Macaca mulatta: one gene and its partners. The main gene of each other region encodes a partner of the protein of the gene in region 3 in a complex. Links are inferred from orthologs where the notes say so. Each region holds a gene or a part of one and is shown on either strand. Other genes may lie near its edges.

What was found.
Region 1: EIF4A3 (region 3) and MAGOHB share a complex: the UniProt entries of both Homo sapiens proteins name them as parts of the mRNA splicing-dependent exon junction complex. The link is inferred for Macaca mulatta from reciprocal best matches to the Homo sapiens genes EIF4A3 and MAGOHB.
Region 2: EIF4A3 (region 3) and MAGOH share a complex: the UniProt entries of both Homo sapiens proteins name them as parts of the ALYREF/THOC4-EJC-RNA complex. The link is inferred for Macaca mulatta from reciprocal best matches to the Homo sapiens genes EIF4A3 and MAGOH.

The regions. Positions count from the first base shown.
Region 1 is NC_133416.1:9,993,116-10,000,159, reverse strand, and holds the start of MAGOHB (protein mago nashi homolog 2), read right to left. Parts: upstream 4,763-7,044; 5' UTR 4,713-4,762; coding exon 4,619-4,712; intron 1,723-4,618; coding exon 1,664-1,722; intron 982-1,663; coding exon 871-981; intron 1-870. UniProt on the Homo sapiens protein: Required for pre-mRNA splicing as component of the spliceosome. Plays a redundant role with MAGOH in the exon junction complex and in the nonsense-mediated decay (NMD) pathway.
Region 2 is NC_133406.1:187,368,317-187,375,101, forward strand, and holds the start of MAGOH (protein mago nashi homolog), read left to right. Parts: upstream 1-2,023; 5' UTR 2,024-2,096; coding exon 2,097-2,184; intron 2,185-5,208; coding exon 5,209-5,267; intron 5,268-6,785. UniProt on the Homo sapiens protein: Required for pre-mRNA splicing as component of the spliceosome. Plays a redundant role with MAGOHB as core component of the exon junction complex (EJC) and in the nonsense-mediated decay (NMD) pathway.
Region 3 is NC_133421.1:89,832,737-89,839,693, forward strand, and holds the start of EIF4A3 (eukaryotic initiation factor 4A-III), read right to left. Parts: upstream 4,111-6,957; 5' UTR 4,068-4,110; coding exon 3,899-4,067; intron 1,405-3,898; coding exon 1,332-1,404; intron 1-1,331. UniProt on the Homo sapiens protein: ATP-dependent RNA helicase. Involved in pre-mRNA splicing as component of the spliceosome. Core component of the splicing-dependent multiprotein exon junction complex (EJC) deposited at splice junctions on mRNAs.

The DNA of each region.
Region 1 (7,044 bases), on a different chromosome or scaffold from region 3:
AGTCTAAATGATATAAAAGGTTAGCTGCTGTGGTTTGCTTTTTAGTACATCTGTATATCTGCATAAAACAAACTGAGGCCTAAATTTGCTTTTTAAAAGTGATACCATGATTAAAGTAAATACTGTTAACTATTACCTTTGCTCTTCTAAACAATGTTTCTTTAAACAGAAGAGTTAAGTTACTCCTACAGAGTGTCAGCATGTGTTAGATCTCTCCACATTTTCTTCTACTCAAAGAAGGTGATATAAAGTACAATCCTCAGGGATACACAAAAGTGAAATTAAATGTTTCTTCCTTCCAGGGGTTGTATCTCATTTCTCCAAGAGCTGAAAAGACCCAATTCAGAAACCAAAATTTCTTTTTACAGAGTGAAATTAGGCCTTCAGAGTTCTTCAGAAGCCTTTTGAGAAACATCAAGTATTCTGAAGGAATATGAGAGGCAAATGCAATCATAAGTTTTAACAAAGAAACCACCAATCAAGTCTCTCTCTGGGGTATAGGGATGCAAATAAGAATTTTAAAAGTTATGATTTGGCAAAAGTAAATTTTACATAGTCATATTCTTAATAAAAGTGATTAACACACAACAGAAATTATTCATAACACTGCACTGTGAAAGCATCCTAATGTTGGCTAGGGTGACTACAGAGAAAGATATCTAAATTTAGAGCTATGCACTGACTCCTTCACTACTAGGAGGTAGCACAGAAAAACGGAACTAAAAGACAAAATTAAAGAGAATTTACCAGGTGTCTATTAAATGGAAAGCCAAAGAATCAACTTAGACTCATTCAAAATAAATAAGGGGAATCATAATAGTATTATCAATTTTTAATATTTATGCACTTAAAGAATCACTAAATACAAACCTGTCGGCCAACCCTATCAGGGGGAGGCCACAAAGCATCATCTTCTTTTGTAATTTCACTGTCATCAATAATTCTCTTCAGTTCTTCCATTACACTCTTGTGCACATAAGCCTAAAAATTAATCATAATAAAATTGGATAATGTCCACCTATGTCACCCCTCAACTCAGAAAGAAATAAGAGTTACAAACTCTGAATATTCAAATAGAGGAATATAGAAAAATTTAATTGATTCCAAAAGTAGAGAATGAGAGAGAATCATTTATCCTTGTTATATTACTTTTCTTCATCTCTTGCCCTTTCCTCTCACATTTATTTTTCCCTCTTCTCATCATTACCCGTCTTTGAAACACTGTATTCTGCCTTTGTAACATTAAGATCCAAATACCCCCAAGTGGTTAGATCACAAGATCTATAAGGTGAACAGTAATAAATGCAAGTACACTGAAGCAGGAGAATTGCTTGAGCCTGGGAGGCAGAGGATGCAGTGAGCTGAGATCACGCCACTGCACTGCAGCTTGGGCAACAGAGCGAGACTCTGTCTCAAAAAATAAAAATAAAAATAAAAATAAATAAATAAATGCAAGTGTAGTTCACAACAAGGTTAGTTCTCTGAACCTTCTCATTCCTATGGATGCAACCATTGTATCTAATTTAAATGGCAACTCTTTCAATCTGTAAATTGCCTTCTTCTTTACAATATAGCCTTAGATGTACTTTTGTAAATTCAACATAGACTTGAAGAAAATGGGCTAAATGCAAAAAAAAAAAAAAGACATTCGAATAGAACTTACCTCTTTTCTGATCATGACATCATTTTTGTAATTGCTGTTGTTGGCATATCTAAGCTTTCCTGTGGGAAATGGAAAAAAATCAATTTACAATAGCAAAAACTGCTAAAAAAAATTAATGACATCATATACAATTTTAAAGGTAAAGACCATTTTATACTACTTTTATTATTTCCTCCCTCCTTGTGTAAAATCATTGTTAGACATGTAGACAATAAATATTTGCTGGTTAAGTTTGCTGAAGTTGAAGATAGCCAAATATTTAAATAGTCTATGCCTACAACATATAGATATAGGGTCATTTTTACGGCCTATTTTCTTAAGCTACATCATGAACTAGAAAGAGAATCTGCACTAACATTCAAGTTTGTTATATGTATGTATTGGTGTTAAGTGCATTACACAGAGAATTTAATCTAATCTGTAAAACAATCCTAAAAATCAGGTTTTATTCTCTCACCTATTCATAAGAGAGAAAACAAAGTTAAGTAACTTAAACATGGGAGATTCAGACCTAGATCTACTTTCTTTTAATACTCAGGCTTTCTCCACTACAAAAAAATGTTCCTTTTTTTCCTTCAAATGTATGCATACAATTATATTGTAGACATTTTAGAATTATGACTAAGAAGGATACAAACGATGCTTCTGGATCGAAGTTGATGAGTTTGTTAGCTAGTTTATATTTAATTTTAATCCATCATGATTTGTGTATTATCTGATGTATGCTTCCCCTTATGGCTAGTCAGTTGCCCAGACACAGCTATAATGTGCAGCAGTTACTCTAAAATGATAGAAATGCCAGTCTTTGATGGCTTGGCACCAGGCGTAGTGGCTCACGCCTGTAATCCCAGCACTTCGGGAGGCCGAGACAGGTGGACTACCTGAGGTTAGCAGTTCGAGACCAGTCTGGCCAACATGGAGAAACCCCATCTCTACTAAAAATACGAAAAAGTAGCCGGGCATGGTGGCACATGCCTCCAATCCCAGCTTCTCGGGAGGCTGAGGCAGGAGAACCGCTTCAATCCAGGAGGCAGAGGTTGCAGTGAGCTGAGATCGCACCACTGCACTGCAGCCTGGGTGACAGAGCAACACTCTGTCTCAAAAAAAAGAAAGAAAGAAAAGAAAGAAAAAAAGAAAAGAAAAAGAAAAAGAAAGAGAAAGAAAGAAAGAAAGAAAGAAAGAAAGAAAGAAAGAAAGAAAGAAAGAAAGAAGGAAAGAAAGAAAAAGAAAGAAAGAAAGAAAGAGAAAGAAAGAGGAAGGAAGGAAGGAAGGAAGGAAGGAAGGAAGGAAGGAAGGAAGGAAGGAAGGAAGGAAGGAAGGCAGGCAGGCAGGCAGGCAGGCAGGTCTTCGGGAGACTCAATATTACCAATAGAAGAAGTATGTGTAACAGTGCAGTGGCAGATACATTGATTAGAACCACTGTTCTAGCATAAAACTTCCCTGATAATATTCAGGTGCTTAATTTATGTGACCTGCTAAAAGTAATAGAGACAAGCTTGACGGTGTTCACAGGCAGAGGAACTGAAAATAATACTACATAAAGAATAGATGAATTCAGGTAAATTTAGCTGAATTTATGGGGAGAGTAAGGTCGAATACAGTGATTAAGGTTTCTAAATAATTGCAGGGCTGGCACGGTGGCTCATGCGTGTAATCCCAGGACTTCGGGCGGCTGAGGCTGGTGAATCTCTTGACCTTAGGGGTTTGAGGACAGCCTGGGCAACATGCGGAAACCCATCTCTACAACAACAACAACAACAACAAAGGAGATGGGCGAGGTGGCACTGGCCTGTATTTCCAGCACCTCGGGAGGCTGAGGTGAAGGATCACTTGAGCTTGGGAGGCGGAGGTTGCAGTGAGCTGAGATCGTGCCACTGCACTCAGATCTGAGTGACAGAGTGAGACTCTGTTTCAAAGTAATAATTGCAGGACTGTAGTTCACGTGAGTTCTGCCTGAAATGCTTGATACTCTTCTCCTTTCCTAATATACGTTTCTCCTCTAATTTTTTATTCTTGCTCTCACAGAACATTGTCCAAAGCCTGCTTATTAATATACCTACTGCTTTATAGTTAAATGTCTGTGTCCCCACCAAGACAAATCTCTTTGAGTTAAATTTGTCTTACTCATTAGTGTACCTTCAAATTTTGTATTTGCTTGTTGCCCAGCAAAAAACGTGCATTTAAAAAAAACCAAAACATATATATCCAAATGAACTTTCTTGTTGCAGGTAGGCAGGACCAATGTAACATTCTCTAATAGCGCTGTCAGAAAACAAATTGTTGCACGCTACTGGGGTAGCAGTTTCACCTCGTCCTCTGCTCTCACTGCTCTGGAAGTCTGTTTTTTTCTCTCAAAGGCCAAGTCTCTCATTTCGAGACTCATCTCAAGAGTGTCTTCCTCTAGGAAGATTTTCCTGACTCCCTCCTGTGGAACTTTACATCTCCCCTCTTTTTTGGTACTCTTCATGCGTCCTGTGGTGAACAATTATACGTAGACACCTAAAACATATTATTATTCTCATTTGTTAACACGTCGGGCTCCTCCCCTTCAAAGAACACACACAGCCTGAATGAAGAAAAGGTACTGGTCACCACAAGATTTTATTCATCCATTGGACCACCCGCTGATGGGGGTGTTTTCAAAAAAGTGCTAGCATTTTTAATCCAGGTCAACAATCTACAGAGTCCCTTCTGGTGCAGTTACAGAATTCTGATTACTGTAAGTTCGACTTTTCAGTTTGCGACAGGATTAGCTTTAATTTATTGCAATTAGTTCTCTTTCATTTATAAAACCAACTTAGGCCTCCTCTATTCTTAAGCTCCTATTTCCTTCGAGGGAAGCAGTGGCCTCCGCCCCCTGTACCCTCCACACCACCCGGCCTCCCCTCGCCTCCTCCACGGCCTCTCGGTCTCGCTCCCCTTTCCCAGCACCGCGTGCCGTGGGCCTCTTCTCACCGTCCGGCCGAAATTCGAACTCCAGAAACTCGTGCCCAAACTTGCCCTTGTGCCCTACGTAGTAGCGCAGGTAGAAATCGCTAGCCATAGCCATTTTTGTCCCCGAGAAGCCCGCCGAAAACCCAGCCAACGTGTCCCCCGGCGCCTTGTAGTCACGTCATCGCGCGGAATAAGTGCGTCACCACAGGCGCTTCTCTTCCGCCTGCCGTGCAGTCCTGGACTAAAGCATGAAAGCCGAGTCTCGCGTGAGAGGCCAGTTGGTGCTGAAGGGAGAGTCGCATGCCGTGACTTTCTCTTTACTAGGATTGGAGGCACATTATTTTCAAAATAAAGATTACATTATATTAGCAAATATTAGAAATGTGAGCATATGATAGTATTTTTTATCGACTTAGAGCTAAATTAGGTTTGCAAGTGGCTTTTACTTTTCTGGTCTCCCAGTCCTCGGGGCGTTTGTGAGGTGGGTGTGGCTCTATTCCCCCTTTAACTGGGAGCTAAATAAAGATAAAGCTTAGAATAGAGATGGCAGACCGGGAATATAAACCATTTTTCTTACTTGATTTCTAACAGGGTGCTTTCCCCTTTGAATAACGATTGGTAGTTGCCCCGGACCTATAAGCCTATAATAATAGAGACAAAGTCAAAGGAATCCATCACAGCAAAGAACTTAAGAGATCTCATTTGATCTCTCAAGAATTCTGTGAGCTTGGCAATGTAGATTGCTGTATATGCCTTAGGCTGAAGAACAAACAGGCTTAGAGATAGTCACTAGCCCGAGGTTAGGTAGCTGTAAGTGTTGGGATTGAATCCCAGGTCTTCTCACCACCACTTTCTACTAAAAATCACTGACGGTGATTTCAGTGGGACAAAACTGGCTTAAAGTCTTAAAACACACACCCCCTACGCCTGAAAAACCCTGACTGTCACCGTGCTGTTTTTTAACAGCAGAACTTCTATGGTTCTTAATTCATTCAGTAAGGGTTAACTTTTAGTAGCCTGTGGAGTTTTGGCAATTTGACTTAAGATACAACAATGGTTTAGCCCATTACTGTTTCTCGCCAGATATAATTAAATTGGAGGAATGAAAGAATGCTCCATTGTGGCATAGTTTTTAAGGTAAGGGAAAGACTTTTACACAAAGTCTGCTTTTTAAATATTATTGATCACCCTTTTGTTATCAACACAGAGAGTAATCCTCTCTGCTGGTTGACAACCTTCAGTGATTTTTGTAGAAAGTGGTGGTGAGAAGACCTGGGATTCAATCCCAACACTTACAGCTACCTAACCTCGGGCAAGTGACTCTCTAAGCCTGTTTATTCATCAGCCTAAGGCATATACAGCAATCTACATTGCCAAGCTCACAGAATTCTTGAGAGATCAAATGAGATATGTAAAATAAGCTTTAAATTTTATAAAACGTTAGTTTTAACAAACATTTCCTATGTGACAGTTTGAAACTAGAAATAAAAAGGCATTTGCACTGGTAGTCTAGAAAAGAAAGCAAACTTGTAAGGCAAATATCGGCACAATGGAGCAATTGCTATAATTAAGAATATATGTGCCATTCTGGCCAACATGGTGAAACCCCGTCTCTACTATAAATACCAAAAACTTAGCTGGGCGTGGTGGCGTGTGCCTGTAGTCCCAGTTGCACGGGAGGCTGAGGCAGGAGAATCGCTTGAACCTGGGAGGCAGAGGTTGCAGTGAGCTGAGATGATCCCACCGCACTCCAGCCTGGGCAACAAGAGCGAAACTTCGTCTCAAAAAAAAAAAAAAAAAAAAAAAAAAAAGGAAAGGAAAAGGAAAAGAAAAAGGAGGAGGAGGGAGGGGGAAGGGGAGGAGGAAGAAGATGATACGTGGCCGGGCACAGTGGCTCATGCCTGTAATCCCAGCACTTTGGGAGGCCAAAGGGGGCAAATCACCCGAGGTCAGGAGTTCAAGACCAGCCTAGCCAACATAGCAAAACCCTGTCTTTACTAAAAATACAAAAATTAGCCGGTCTGGTGGCACGCGCCTGTATTCCCAGCTACTCATGAGGCTGAGGCAGGAGAATCGCTTGAACCCGGGAGGCGGAGATCGCGCCATTGCACTCCAGCCTGGGTGAGGAAAGCAAAACTTCGTCTATATATATATATACATATATATATATATATATACACACACACACACACACATACACACACACATTTATATATAAATATATATTTTATATATAAATGTGTGTGTTTGTGTGTGTAAAACATGCTGGTAGTACAGCAGAGGAATCAAGAGCATTCTATTGCAGAGTAGGTAAATTTGTAAAAAGAGTATTGGAGAAGGACTATCAACGGAAGTATTTGAATTGGACCTTGAGAAGTAAGTTCTGTTTATGTTCAGTGGGATGAAAAAGCATTCCAGGCAGAAAATGACCTGAGCAAAGACAGTGG
Region 2 (6,785 bases), on a different chromosome or scaffold from region 3:
GATAGGGTCTTGCTTCGTCACCCAGGCTGGAGTGTAGTGGTATGATCATGGTTCGCTGCAGCCTTGACCTCCCAGGCTCAAATTATCCTCCTACCTCAGCCTCCCAAGTAGTTGGGACTACAGGTGTGCACCACCACACCTACCTAATTTTTAAATTTTTTGTAGAGACAAAGTCTCTCTATGTTACCCAAGCTGGTCTCAAACTTCTGGGCTCAAGTGATCCTTCTGCCTCAGCCTCCCAAACTGCTGGGATTACAAGTGTGAGCCACTGTGTCTAGCCCCCTTCTCTTTTATACAGTTCCCTTGTTACTACCAATATGCGGTGTTTTGTAATAAAAATGTCATGGTTTTATAGCAATTTACAGTTTCCGAGACATTGTTTCTTATAACAGTTCTGCTAGGTGTACGTTTTTATGCTCATTTTAAAGAGAAGGAAACTCTGAAGTCTAAAAAGTTGAGTCAGTTCACCTTTGGTTACAATGAGTCATTGTTAAAACAAAAGATTTTAACCAGTGTCCAATGGTTTTTTTCCCCCACCACACCTACTCTACACTCTGCTGCTAATGCTTTTTCAGGGAGAAAAGGACTCATTGTTAAGACTGGGGGCCATGCACGGTGGCTCATGCCTGTAATCCCAGCACTTTGGAAGGCTGAGGCGGATGGATCGCCTGAGGTCGGGAGTTTGAGACCAGCCTGGCCAACATGGTGAAACCCTGTCTCTACTAAAAATACAAAAATTAGCTGGATGTGGTGGCACGTGCCTGTAATCTCAGCTACTTGGGAGGCTAAGGCAGGAGAATCACTTGAACCCAGGAGGTGGAGGTTGCGGTGAACTGAGAACCAGCCGTTGCACTCTAGCCTGGGCAACAAGAGCAAAACTCTGTCTCAAAAAAAAAAAAAAAAAAAAAGACTGGGGGTAGGAATCAGAGACTGCTGTCCCGACTTACAGAATCTTATACTGTTCTAGTTGCCAGGCCCCAAGAATGATGTCATCTCAGCACTGTCTCTAGAACCATTCATTCTCTCTAAGTGTGGAACTTAGACGAGTGAGAGCAGGCTCCTATTAAATAATTATGATCTTGATTGCTCTGGCCCTACTCAACTGTAAATTTTTTCCAGAGCCAGAATGGCTTCACAGAGGACAACTTTGCTCTGAAAAGAGTCTCTTTGGTCAGTGGTCCTCAACTGAGAGCTTTACAAAGAGTACCAATGCCCAGTTCCAGCGCTGGAGATTTTAATTGGCTTGGGGTAGAGCCCTGGCATCAGTATTTTTAGAGGCTCCCCAGGTAATTCCAATGTGCAGCCAGGCTGAGAATCACTGCTCGGTAAGTGGGATGACTGGGGAGTGGGAGATCAAATACTCTAACTTCTCACAGCACCTATTCTAGAGATCAGTGGGGCAGAAAGATAGAAATAAAAGGTGGAAAAGGACGAAATGGGTAAGTGTGGGTGAACTAGTTCCAGGGAAACGGCAATCTCCACTGTGGATTCAGGGAAGGCGTCACTGAGGGCTTTCTTAACAGTTCAGGTCAATGGAAGCCATCTTGAGGCACACACATCGTGCGCGGCATCCTCCGGGAAGGTCGGGTCATTTCACCCCATTTTACTGCCGAGATGACCTAGGTCCAGAGACGGTAAAGAGCGGTGTACGACTCACACAAGTCGGGGGTCCTGTGAACTGAGGTTGAGCCTGGCGGGGGCAAGGCTCGGGGTGTTCGGTCCGAGATCTTTAAGCGAAGTCACCAGACCCCGCGTTCAAAGCCCAGAGGTAGGCAGGCGGCTGGCTCTCGGCCTCAGGCCGGGAGAGAACCCAGCGGGTACCAACCTCAACCTCGCTCCCGCGTCCAGGTGGAGAAGCGGAGCTGGTTGGCCCCGCCTCCGGGTTAAACAAAGTTCGTTACCTCCTAGGCGTGAGAGGGTGTGGCAGTCTTGTTGTCACTTCCGGGCGAATAGGTTAGCTAGAAGGAACCCCTCCATTACGCGACGGCGTAATCTGACGTCACTTCCGCGCGCCGCCGCAAACGTCAGTGTCGGGCGCAGACCGCAGCAGTGCGGCTTGCTGTTGGAAGTTCAGGCTCGGTTGTCTTTTGGGAGCCATGGAGAGTGACTTTTATCTGCGTTACTACGTGGGGCACAAGGGCAAATTCGGCCACGAGTTCCTGGAGTTTGAGTTCCGACCGGATGGTAAAAGCAGCCTGCCGCCCGCCGGGAGCGGGACCAGGCCTTGGGGCGGGCGAGTGGGGAGGCCGAGGGTCGGAAATCTGTGGGGAACTAGAGGAGGAAGGGGCTGAGACCTGTGCAGTGCGGATCTGAAAGGAGCGCCACTGTGTCTGCTCCACGGCGTCGTTTTATCCATACAACAAACGTTGGCTGAACGCCCACTGTGTGCCAGGCTCTGTTCCACTCTTTGGGGATACGACAGCGAAGATAGACAAACTTCCTCTCTCGTGGAACTTGTGTTTTACTGCTGGGAGAGAGATCATAAAAAGATGATTCCGGATAGCAGTGAGTGGTCAGAAAATATGGTAGAATCGCTGGATGGGCTGCTTTTAGATAGGTTGGCCATTAGAGAGCTCTAATGGTATATTGCAGCTGAGCCCTAATTAGCAAGAAGGACCCAGCCTTGTGAAGCTCACAAGGAAGACCATTCTACCCAAAGGGAATACCAGAAGTCAAGGCTGCAGGGCGGGAATGAGCTTAGGCATGTCTCAGGTGGTCAGTGTGATTGAAGAGTGGTGAGCTGGGAGATGGCAGGAGATGATGTCGGATAGGTAGTAGGAGCCGCACCTTGTAGATCTTTATAGACCATGGTAAAGAGTTTGGACTTGGAAGGCTTTTTTTATTTTATTTATTTTTTTTTTTGAGACGGGTTTCGCTCTTTTTGCCCAGGCTGTAATGCTATGGCGCGATTTCGGATCATTGCAACCTCCGCCTCCCGAGTTAAAGCGATTCTCCTGCCTCAGCCTCCCGAGTAGCTGGTATTACAGACACCCACCACCACGCCCGGCTAATTTTGTATTTTTAGTAGAGACAGGGTTTCACCAGGTTGGCCAGGCTGGTCTCGAACTTCTGACCTCGGGCGATCCGCCGGCCTCGGTGTCCCAAAGTGCTGCGATTACAGGCGTGAGCCACCGCGCCTGGCCGGGCTTGGAAGGTTTTAAGCAGAGAAGAAATGTGATCTGTTCTTGAAAAAGCATTCTGGTTATTGGGTGCGGAATGGGCAACAGTGAAAACAGGGCTATTGATTAGGAGACTGTTGTCAAGACAAGAAAGATGTTGGGGGCCAGTCGCAGTGGCTCACGCCTGTAATCCCAGGACTTTGGGAGGCTGAGGTGTGCGGATAACTTGAGGTTAGGAGTTCGAGACCAGCCTGGCCAACATGGTGAAACCCCGCCTCTACTAAAAATACAAAAATTAGCCGGACGTGGTGGCAGATGCCTGTAATCCCAGCTGTTCGGGAGGCTGAGACAGGATAATCGCTTGAACCTGGGGCGGAGGTTGCAGTGAGCTGAGATAGTGCCAGTGTACTCCAGTCTGGGTGACAGAGCGAGACTGTGTCACAAAAAAAAAAAAAAAAAAAAGATGTCGGTTGGGACTACAGAGATAGTAGAAATGGAGAGAAAGATTTAGGAAACTGTTGGAGGCAGAATCAACTGGACTTTGATCGTTGATAGGATTTTTTTGGCGGAGGCACTGTGGTGAAGGAAAGAGGAATCAAAGATGACAGAAAACATCCATTAAGCGGGCCACAAAGATGTATCTGACAGGCCCCGACTGTGAGGGAGATGGATTTGTAAGCAGGGACCAAACAGCGTATTAGGTGTTGTGGTAAAAAGAAACAGAGGAGACTTGCAGCAGAGAAGGGGCACCTAGCCAAGCCTGAGGGTCAGAGGAGGCTTCCTACATAAAATGATGGGAGGAGGGGATGTGAGGTATTGGTTAGGAGACCAAGAAGAGTCAAGAAGGCATTTTAGACAGCATGCAAAGAGGCTGAAAACCAAAAAGTGCTTGGGATGTTTCAGGCAGAAACCAAGTTGTTCGACTCCAGCTGTGTGAGAGAAGAATATTGCAGGAGTGAGGCTGGAAAAGCAGGCAGGGGCTTTGCTTAGCCGTATGCCATGTTGAGGAGTTTGGATTTTTTTTTTTTTTTTTTTTTTGAGATGGAGTCTTGCTCAGTTGCCCAGGCTGGAGTGCAGTGGCACGATCTGGGTTCACTACAAGCTCCGCCTCCCGGGTTCACGCTATTCTCCTGCCTCAGCCTCCTAGGTAGCTGGGACTACAGGCGCCCGCCACCACGCCTGGCTAATTTTTTACATTTTTAGTAGAGACGGGGTTTCACCGTGTTAGCCAGGATGGTCTCGATCTCCTGACCTCGTGATCTGCCCGCCTCGGCCTCCCAAAGTGCTGGGATTACAGGCGTGAGCCACCGCGCCCGGCCGGATTTTAACCAGGAAGGCAGCGGAAAGCCATTGACTTTATCAAAGTATTAGAGTAACCTAATCTGATAGATCTGTTACCACATCACCTTGTCCACTATATGGACAGTGAACTGAATGTGAAGAAACTTGAGGCAGAGAGACAGCACAGAGACCGTTGGAATAAATTCACTGGGCTCATCTCACATGTATGTCTTCTAGTCTACATGTCTTCTGTTTCCTTCTATCTTCTCCTCATCCCCACCATGTATTCACATTAACCTGTTAGACGCACACATGGACAAAGGGTCTTGTGTACCAAATGTGCTCAGTGATAAAAGCAACAACTTTTCCATCACAGAAATAGAGTGTGGCACAGTCACATGATAATATATGTAAACAGCATCCTACAGTTTTCAAAATGTTTTCACAACTCATTTGAGCCTCAGGAGGTCCTATGTGCTGGTAAGTTATCATTTACTCTGCCTGTTTTCAGGACATTCACCTGCAAAAATGTGATTCGACAAAGTCAGAAAAGAGCCTGCCTGTGTTTTTACCTCACCTGAGCTGCTTTTTGCAGTAGTTGAGTGTCAGCTGTATATTTGGCTGTTTAAGCCTGAAGTGAAGAACTGAAAGACTAGTATTGTTGAACTACCTTAAGAGTAAATAATAAATGTCTTAGACACTTTGAGCAAGTTGGATACATTTTAGGCAACTGCCGATAGTCTTGGTATGGTATTGATGCTTTATTCATGTTTTTATTATATGTTGAATTTGGCTTTTGTCCCCACAGGGAAGTTAAGATATGCCAACAACAGCAATTACAAGAATGATGTCATGATCAGAAAAGAGGTATGCCTTCTGAGAGGCCTTCATTTTCTACATTTCAGCTTTTTGTCTTGCATTGTTTTTGTTGTATCTAGTATTGAAAGGTAAAGAACAGGGAGAGAGACACATGTCTGTAGACAGCTTCTGGATTATTTCCCAAATCATCTTTTAGTTGGGATTTTTTTATTTTACAATGTGGAATCAATTACTGGTAACCATTGACATACCTTGGTTTGAACCCTGAGTCTGCTGCTTACTACCTCATGTGACAGTGGGCAAGTTCCTGGCTGAACTTGATTAAATCTCTGTTTCTTCACCTGCAAAAACAGGGAAAATAAAAGCTACCTCCCACTCCCAAGTGCTGTCATAAAATTAAATGTGTTATACTTAAAGTGCTCTATATATTCCCTGGCACATAGTACACAATGGAGAGCTATTTAATTTGCATCTGAGTGGGAAAGGGAGCATGGGAAAGCAGTTGATATCATTGAATGCATGTTAGATGTCAGGCATGGCATCTTATTTAACCCTGATTATAAGCCCATATGATGGGGGAGGGTATTATAGCCCCCTTACAAATAAGAAAATAAAGGCCCAGATATTAATTATGAGACTTGTTCAGAGTTACCCCTGCTAGTAAGAGATACAGCAGGAATTCCCAATTAAAGGAATTCCCCAGTAAAGTTTGTATTCTCCTCTCTGTGATTTCTACTACATCATTAAGGCTTCATCAAAGCTACTCTTTTAACCACTCTGCCACCTTTGAAAATGTCTTAGCATATATTTTTCATACTGTTGTTTTAGCTATCAGTTTCATGCTTATTCACACATGTCAACATTCTCACTATTTTTTTACACAGGCATATCTTTTCAAATACATTTTGCTCCTCAGGAGCGTATTACCTAGTTAAGAATAACTGGCCGGGCGCGGTGGCTCACGCCTGTAATCCCAGCACTTTGGGAGGCCAAGGTGGGCGGATCACGAGGTCAGGAGATGGAGACCATCCTGGCTAACACGGTGAAACCCCGTCTGTACTGAAAATACAAAAAAATATAGCCGTGGTGGTGGGTGCCTGTAGTCCCAGCTATTCAGGAGGCAGAGCGTGCAGTGAGTCGAGATTGCACCACTGCACCCCAGCCTGGGCCACAGAGTGAGACTCCGTCTCAAAAAAAAATAAACCAGGGCATGTAGGTGTTGCTGTCTCTTTTGTTTTGCTATAACAGAATACCTGAGACTGGGTAATTTTTAAGCCATAAAAATATATTTCTCACAGTTTTGGAGGCTGGGAAGTCCAAGATCAAGGCACTGGCAGGTTCAGTGTTTAGTGAGGGCCCAGTCTCTGCTTCCACAACTGTGCCTTGTTTTTGCATCCTCCAGAAGGGATGAATGCAGTGTTCTCATATGGTGAAAGAACAAGCAAGGGGCCAGCTAGTTCTCTTAAGCTGTCTCCTAAGGCACTAATCCTATCCATGGGGGCTCTGCCCTCAAGGCCCAATCAACTCTTAAAGGCCCTATCGATTAACACCGTTGCATTGGGGATT
Region 3 (6,957 bases):
GCAGGGAGACTGCCAGGAGTTTGAGAGCAGCCTGGGCAACACAAGGAAACCCTGTCTCTACAGAAAATAAAAAACGTAAATGATGATGTGTGCCTCTAGTCCCAGCTACCTGGGAGGCCGAGGTAGGAGAATCACTTGAGTCTGGGAGGTTGAGGCTGCTGTGAGCTGTAATCACACAACTGCACTCCAGCCTGGGAGACAGAGTAAGACCCTGTCTCAAAAAAAGTAAAAAATTTAAATTAAAAAAAATTTTTTTAAAAAGCATTATGGTATTATCCTAGAAAAGCTCCTGCCCTATTCCCTGGGCGGGGGAAAGAATGCTGACCTCATGGAATTTTCCATAGAAACCCAAGAGGACCAAGTTCGAAGAGCTTCTGGATGGCTGAACACAGACAGTGGAACACAAGGAGGTTCTGGGAGGCTGCACCCCCGCCCCCATATCTGTATCCTTTGCAGCACCCTTTATAATAAACCACTAAATGTGTTTCCCTGAGTTCTCTGAGCTGCTGTTCCAGCAAATTAATCCAACCTAAAGAGGGGATCATGGGAACGCCAACTCGAAGCTGCTTGGTCAGAAGTTCTAGACATCCAAACTTATAATTGATGCCTGAAAAGAGGGTGGTTGAGGGGACTGAGCCCTCAACCTGTGGGATATGGCCTGTCTCCAGGCAGATGGTATGAGCTGAACTGGAGGACACCCAGCTGGAAAACCCCCACACAAGTCATCTTCTGTGCTGATGACTGTGGTGGTGGTGTGAGAGCAGAGGAAAAGCAGTCTGTTTTTCCGAAATTGTGTTATATACAACTCCACCTGCCAGCAAACCACCAAGCAAAGCTGGCTAAGAAAATGAAAGCCTTGGCCGGGCACAGTAACTCACGCCTGTTATCCCAGCACTTTAGGAGGCCAAGGAGGGTGGATCACCTGAGGTCGGGAGTTTGAGACTGGCCTGACCAACATGGTGAAACCCCATCTCTACTAAAAATACGAAAAGTAGCCAGGCATGGTGGCGGGCGCCTGTAATCCCAGCTACTTGGGAGGGTGAGGCAGGAGAATCGCTTGAAACAGAGAGGCAAAGGTTGCAGTGAGCCGAGATGGTGCCACTGCGCTCCAGCCTGGGCGACAGAGCGAGACTCCATCTCAAAAAGAAAATGAAAGCTTTCTATAGTAGAGAACAGAAATTTAAAAATTATTAAACCCTGTGGCTAAAGTCAGGGCACGTGTTGGTACTGAGTGTGTAGAAGCTGAGGGAACCAGTCATCCCAGAGCATCTAACTGCACTGCGCTGCCCAAATTTGCATCCAGCCCCGCGCCGCACCCCAGGACAACTTACTGCGCGATGACATCTCTCCCTTTGATGATCTGCTTGATTGCTCGTTGCTGGATTGCTGATGGTTTTTCAAAACCTGCAAATAAAAACAAAAAAATAGCTCTCGCTACAATGACAGCACAGAAACCCTGTACTGTGAGCTCCTCAGGGGCAGACGTGGTTTGCTGTTTGAACCTGTCCTCCCGCCTAACCCAGTGTTCAACATAGCAAGCTCTCAAAACCCAGGGGCTCAATGAATCGGACTAAGTGGATTTCTAAACTAACATGAGATATTATTTGTAAAGACAAATCTCTATTTTAAAAAAACCACCAAATTGTAGAATACAGAAAAATAATAATGATAATCTTCTGGGTGTGCAGCATCTGGAAGTGCCAAAATGTTCCTGGCAGTTACTGCAGTAGAGGGGTGAAAAGCAGCTAACTTTTTACTCTAATTACTTCCTTAGGTTTGACTGGATTACAAACAACCTATACTACTTTTTAAATTAAAAACAAAAACAAAAAAAACCAGGAAAGTCACTGTAGCCATTCTTCTCTCCTCCTAGCTAGCATTAAGTCTGTGTGTTGCTGACAGGTCTACAACTCTATTTAACCTGCTTGGGTCACACTGTGGGGTGTCCTACGCTGTTCTCCTGTCTGGATGCAGCTCCCTAACTACCATACCATCTCTCCTGCGAAGCAACTACTACACCAAAGGGGGAGGCTATTTTGAAGAAGAACCATGTGTTTTTCAAGTAAGTAAATAAAACTTTATGTACAAAACTCTAGTTCAGTTATTTTTTGGTAGTCTCTTAAATGTAGCTCTGTTCAGTTCTGGGGCATAGTGAAAAATGAGAAACAAAAGAAAATGTAGCACAATTTCCCATCTTAACACAAAAGCAAATATAGCAGATGATTTAAACTCTTCATGAAGAGCAAGCACATGGATGGGAAACTAACAACAGTGTCTTAGGGCAGGGACTGCCTGAGTGCCAGGAAACCAGGTGGGGCTGTCAGCCTCGCTGGAAGGCTGGCTGAGATGCTTTCTCACCACCCATCCTCAGCACCTTCGCCTCACTTTGTCCAAACTGTTGTGGCATCAAGAATTACAGGATAAGACCAGGTGGGGTGGCTCACACCTGTAACCCCATCACTTTGGGAGGCTGAGGCTGGCAGACCACTGAGGTCAGGAGTTCAAGACCAGCCTGGGCAAGATGGCAAAATCCCATCCCTACTAAAAATACAAAAACTAGTAGGGCATGGTGGTCGGCTACTTGGGAGGCTGAGGCAAAGGAATCGCTTGAGCCCCAGAGGCAGAAGTTGCAGTGAGCCGAGATCATGCCACTACAGTCCAGCCTTGGTGACAGAGCAGGACTGTCAGAAAGAAAGAAAAGAGAACTACAGGATAAAAAATGTCCCTGTCCCAAGCATTAAACACAGGCCATTTACCCCAGATGCTGGCCATTCCCATCTATGTGCCCAACCCAACCTCTTCTCCAGGCTCTCTCTCAACTTCCACAGATCTTTCAAACATACCAAGAGACAACTCCTGATTCTGACTCTCTGGAGTGCTGCCTACCTAGCCAAATGTTTGCAGCATCAACCACTGGTTACTGAAAACACTAACCCTCCTCCTTCTGTCGCTCACAGTCAATCCATCAGCCAATGCTGTCAGTTCCCTGGCACTCCATCTCCAAGGCAGCACAATCCTCTCTTCCCTGAACTGGAGCAAAAGCTTCCCAACTCTTGTTTCCTCTCCTGCCCTGCCTCGCCTCACCTGAAATTCACAGACACCCAGAAGACTCTTTAAAGCTGTAAATGTGATCGTGTCACATAGCTACTTACTACATTCCAGTGGCTTCCCACTAGATTTCCAAATGAAATTCAAATTATTCGTCACCCCTACACGTCTTTGCTAAATCTGGCCCCTGACTAGCTCTCCAAAATCCCACCACAGGGGACTTCTTTCAGTTCCTGGAATGCAGCTGGCTAAGGGCTGCAAAGCCCTGGCACCAGCTGTTCCTTCTGCCCCAACTGCTCTTCCCTCCTCTCCTAAAAGTCTCCTTCATCCATACCTCTGCTCAAATGGCACCCCCTCCTGCGAACCCCCTTACCTCTCTGCTTTACTAATTATCTCCTCCTTCCCAGGCCCACTCTATTCAATTACCTAGCTTCGGGTTCTTCCCAGCAACAACCACTGCCTGGGCAATCTGACCGCATGCTGTCCCCTCAAAGGAAATTCAAAACCCGTAAAGGCGCAAACCCATCTGGTTTACCGCCAAAACCCCAGTAACTAGAAAAGTTAGTAGGTACAAAACAGTTATCTGCTGAATGAACGACTCCGAGGTGCCTCGAAGCGGCTGTAGCCCCCGACGGACCCAGCGCCGAGCTCTGCACAGGGGACACACAGCGAACGCGCCGACACAGCCAGGCGTGAGGGCAGGGGTGGGGGTGGGGGTCGCACGTCACTGGCCCCCGAGCCTCGACCCTGACCACGACCTCCGGAGTGCAGGGCCGGCCCGGGAGTCACCAGTCGGGCTCTCAGCCCCCGGCTCGCCGCCAGCTGGCCCCCGCGGCCCGCGCCCACTCACCGTAAGCGTAGATGCCCCGCAGTAGGTCCTCCCGCAGGCCCATGGTGTCGAACGTGGGGGTCACATCCACCTCCTCGCTGGTCTCGAATTCCACTTTGGTCATGTCTTCCTCTTTGAGCAGACGCTTTCGCGCCGAGCCCGAGGTCGCCATCGTGGCCGTGGTCGCCATGATTTAGAGTCCGCGGAAGAGCACAGCGCGCGCCACAGCGTAAACCACCTCCCGACTCCTCTCGCTGCCGGGGCCGAGAACTGACGCCTTAGCGTGAGAAAGCGTAAGACGTGCGTACGTGCGTATGTGCGTGCGTACGTGCGCGCGAGGCGACCCCGCCTCTGGGGCGGGGCACTCTTCGTCACTTGAAAGGGAACTGGGCGTTTGCCGCAGGAAAAAGTAAGGTGTTTCTGCTCTCGCGCCATATGCAGTTCTCGCGGGATCTCGTTGAGGGCGGGGCACCCGGTTCCTTATAAAAGGTACGGAAGCGGGTGGATTTCCAGAGTTGGTGGCGTTTTGTGGCGGTTGCGGGAGTTTGGGACGCGAAGGCTCTTTGAGCGGCGTGCGGCCCTGAATCCCCTGACAACAGGCTGGGGGCCGCCAGGGGCCTCCAGTCCGGGTGGCGTCGCCACACAGCCCTGCCTCGAATGAAGAGGACGAACACGGGTCCTCTCTCGGGCCCGCATTGGGTGGACTGCGTCGCGGACCCGTAGTGGGGGCGCCCAGCTCGCCGGGGAGATTCGGGTGGAAACCCTCACGGCCCCCGGTGGTGGGCGCCGGCGCGGCGCTGGGCTCGGGCGGGTCTGCGCTGGGGAGGGCCAGGGCCTCTAATGCCGGTGTCTTTCTTTGGGGACGCGCCTGTGTGTGTTTTCGCCGTTTGCCTGGTCAGTTGGAGACAGGGTCTCTCTTTGTCGCCCAGGCTGGAGTGCGGCGGTGGGATCAGGGCTCACTGTAGCCTCCGCCTCTGGAGTAGCTGGGACCTCAGGCGCGCGCCATCATGTCCGACTAATTTTTTTAAATTTTTTGTAGAGACGGTGTTGGGGGAAGGGTGGGGGTTAGGGTTGTCCAAGCTGGTCTTGAACTCCTGAGCCTCAGGTGATCCGCCCGCCCTGGCCTCCCAAGGTGCTGGGATTACAGACATGAGCCACTGTGCCCGGCAAGCAGCTGTTATAAAGTAAAATACACGCAGAGCCTGCAATTTACTCTTAATGAAAGCCTCCTGTCTAGACGGTGTTAATAATGCGTGTCCTGCAGCAAAGATAACCCAGACGGGATCATGTAATTGCCCAGCAGAACGGTAATCAGTTGCGCATCTTAACCTGCTTTTAGTTCATTTGTTTTGAGACAGAGCCTGGCTCTGTCGCCCAGGTTGGAGTGCTATGGCACGATCTCCGTTCACTGCAGCCTCCACCTCCCAAGCCCAGGCGATCCTCCCGCCTCAGCCTCCAGAGTACCTGGGACCACAGGTGCCGCTGCTACGCACAGTCCTAACCACTTTCTTATCTGACACTTGAAGTGCTTCTACATACCCAGCTCCTCTAATGCACTTTGAAGCAGCTCCATCATCTTTGAAGGGCAGTTCACGCTGTTGAGAATCATGTTTTTAACTGTGGGAAAAGTAAAAATTTCCACGAGCACCAGCTGTGTCATTTTTTTTTTGGACGGAGTCTTGCTCTGTCACCCAGGCTAGAGTGCAGTGTCGTGACCTAGGCTCACTGCAAGCTCCGCCCCCCAGGTTCATGCCGTTCTCCTGCCTCAGCCTCGCGCCACTACACCCAGCTAATTTTTGTATTTTTAGTAGAGATGGAGTTTCCTCATGTTGGTCAGGCTGGTCTTGAACTCCTGACCTCATGATCTGCCCACCTCGGCCTCCTAAAGTGCTGGGATTACAGGCGTGAGTCCGGCCCTGTGCTTATGATCACAAATCTGGCTTACATGGCTGGGCACATCTTTAATCCACGGCTTCTTTCCAGGAGTGCTTGAAAGCTCTCCTTTTATGAAGGTTAATTTTAGTTAAAACCAGAGCATCCTGGCCAGGCCCAGTGGCTCACACCGGTAATCCCAGCACTTTGGGAGACAGAGGCAGGTGGATCACGAGTCTAGGAGTTCGAGACCAGCCTGGCCAAAATGGTGAAACCCCATCTCTACTAAAAAAAAATACAAAACTTGACTGCCCGTGGTGGCGGATGCTTGTAGTCCCAGCTACTCTGGAGGCCAAGGCAGGAGAATCTCCTGAACTCCGGAGGTGGAGGTTGCAGTGAGCTGAGATTGTGCCACTGCACTCCAGCCTGGGTGATGGAGACTGCATCTCAAAAACAAAAAACCAGAGCACCCTTTTATCAAGAAATTGGTGGATTGCAGTATTTCAAGGGTGAACAAGTAAATGCAGCCTTCTCCAAGAGCAAATCTCATTCTGGCACCAGAATTTATCCATGACAGATAATTGACCCGAGAAACATTCCTTGTAAGGTTGCTGGTGTCACGTAACCAAAATACTAAGTATTGTAAGTTCTGATACCTTCTTCACTCTACAAAGGATGGTTCAATGCCTCACACTGTTTGCCAGGCGGTGCTCTAGGGCTTTGTTGTAAAATACACACAGACTTCAATGACAGTGTAGGAGAAGAATGTCAAATACCTTGTTGACTAAAGAAATACAGTTAAGCTTTTAAAGAATTAGTTTTATTCAGAAGCCTTACCAAGGACCCTACACCCCAGCCCCAGCCCAGGAGCTCAAGCGATCCTCCTACCTCCGCCTCTGAAATTGCTGGAATCACAGGTGTGAGCTACCAGGCCTCACCTTGTTCAAAGTTTTAAAATCTAATCCACAAACTGCTTAGGTTTGTTTTCCTTCACCTTTTTGTGACTAGATGATCTAACATTTTACACCGTTTTCCTGGAAATGTTTATGCCAGATGTCTGAATACACATCTGAAAGGTCTCTAACTTTTCTGGGGAGCAATAGCTTTTTAGCCCAGAGTCTATGAAAATGATGAGAGCTGGCGAGGTTTGGTGCAGTCTCTGGGTGAACGATGCTTTCTAGGGAAACGATGGGGCATAAGACAGACAT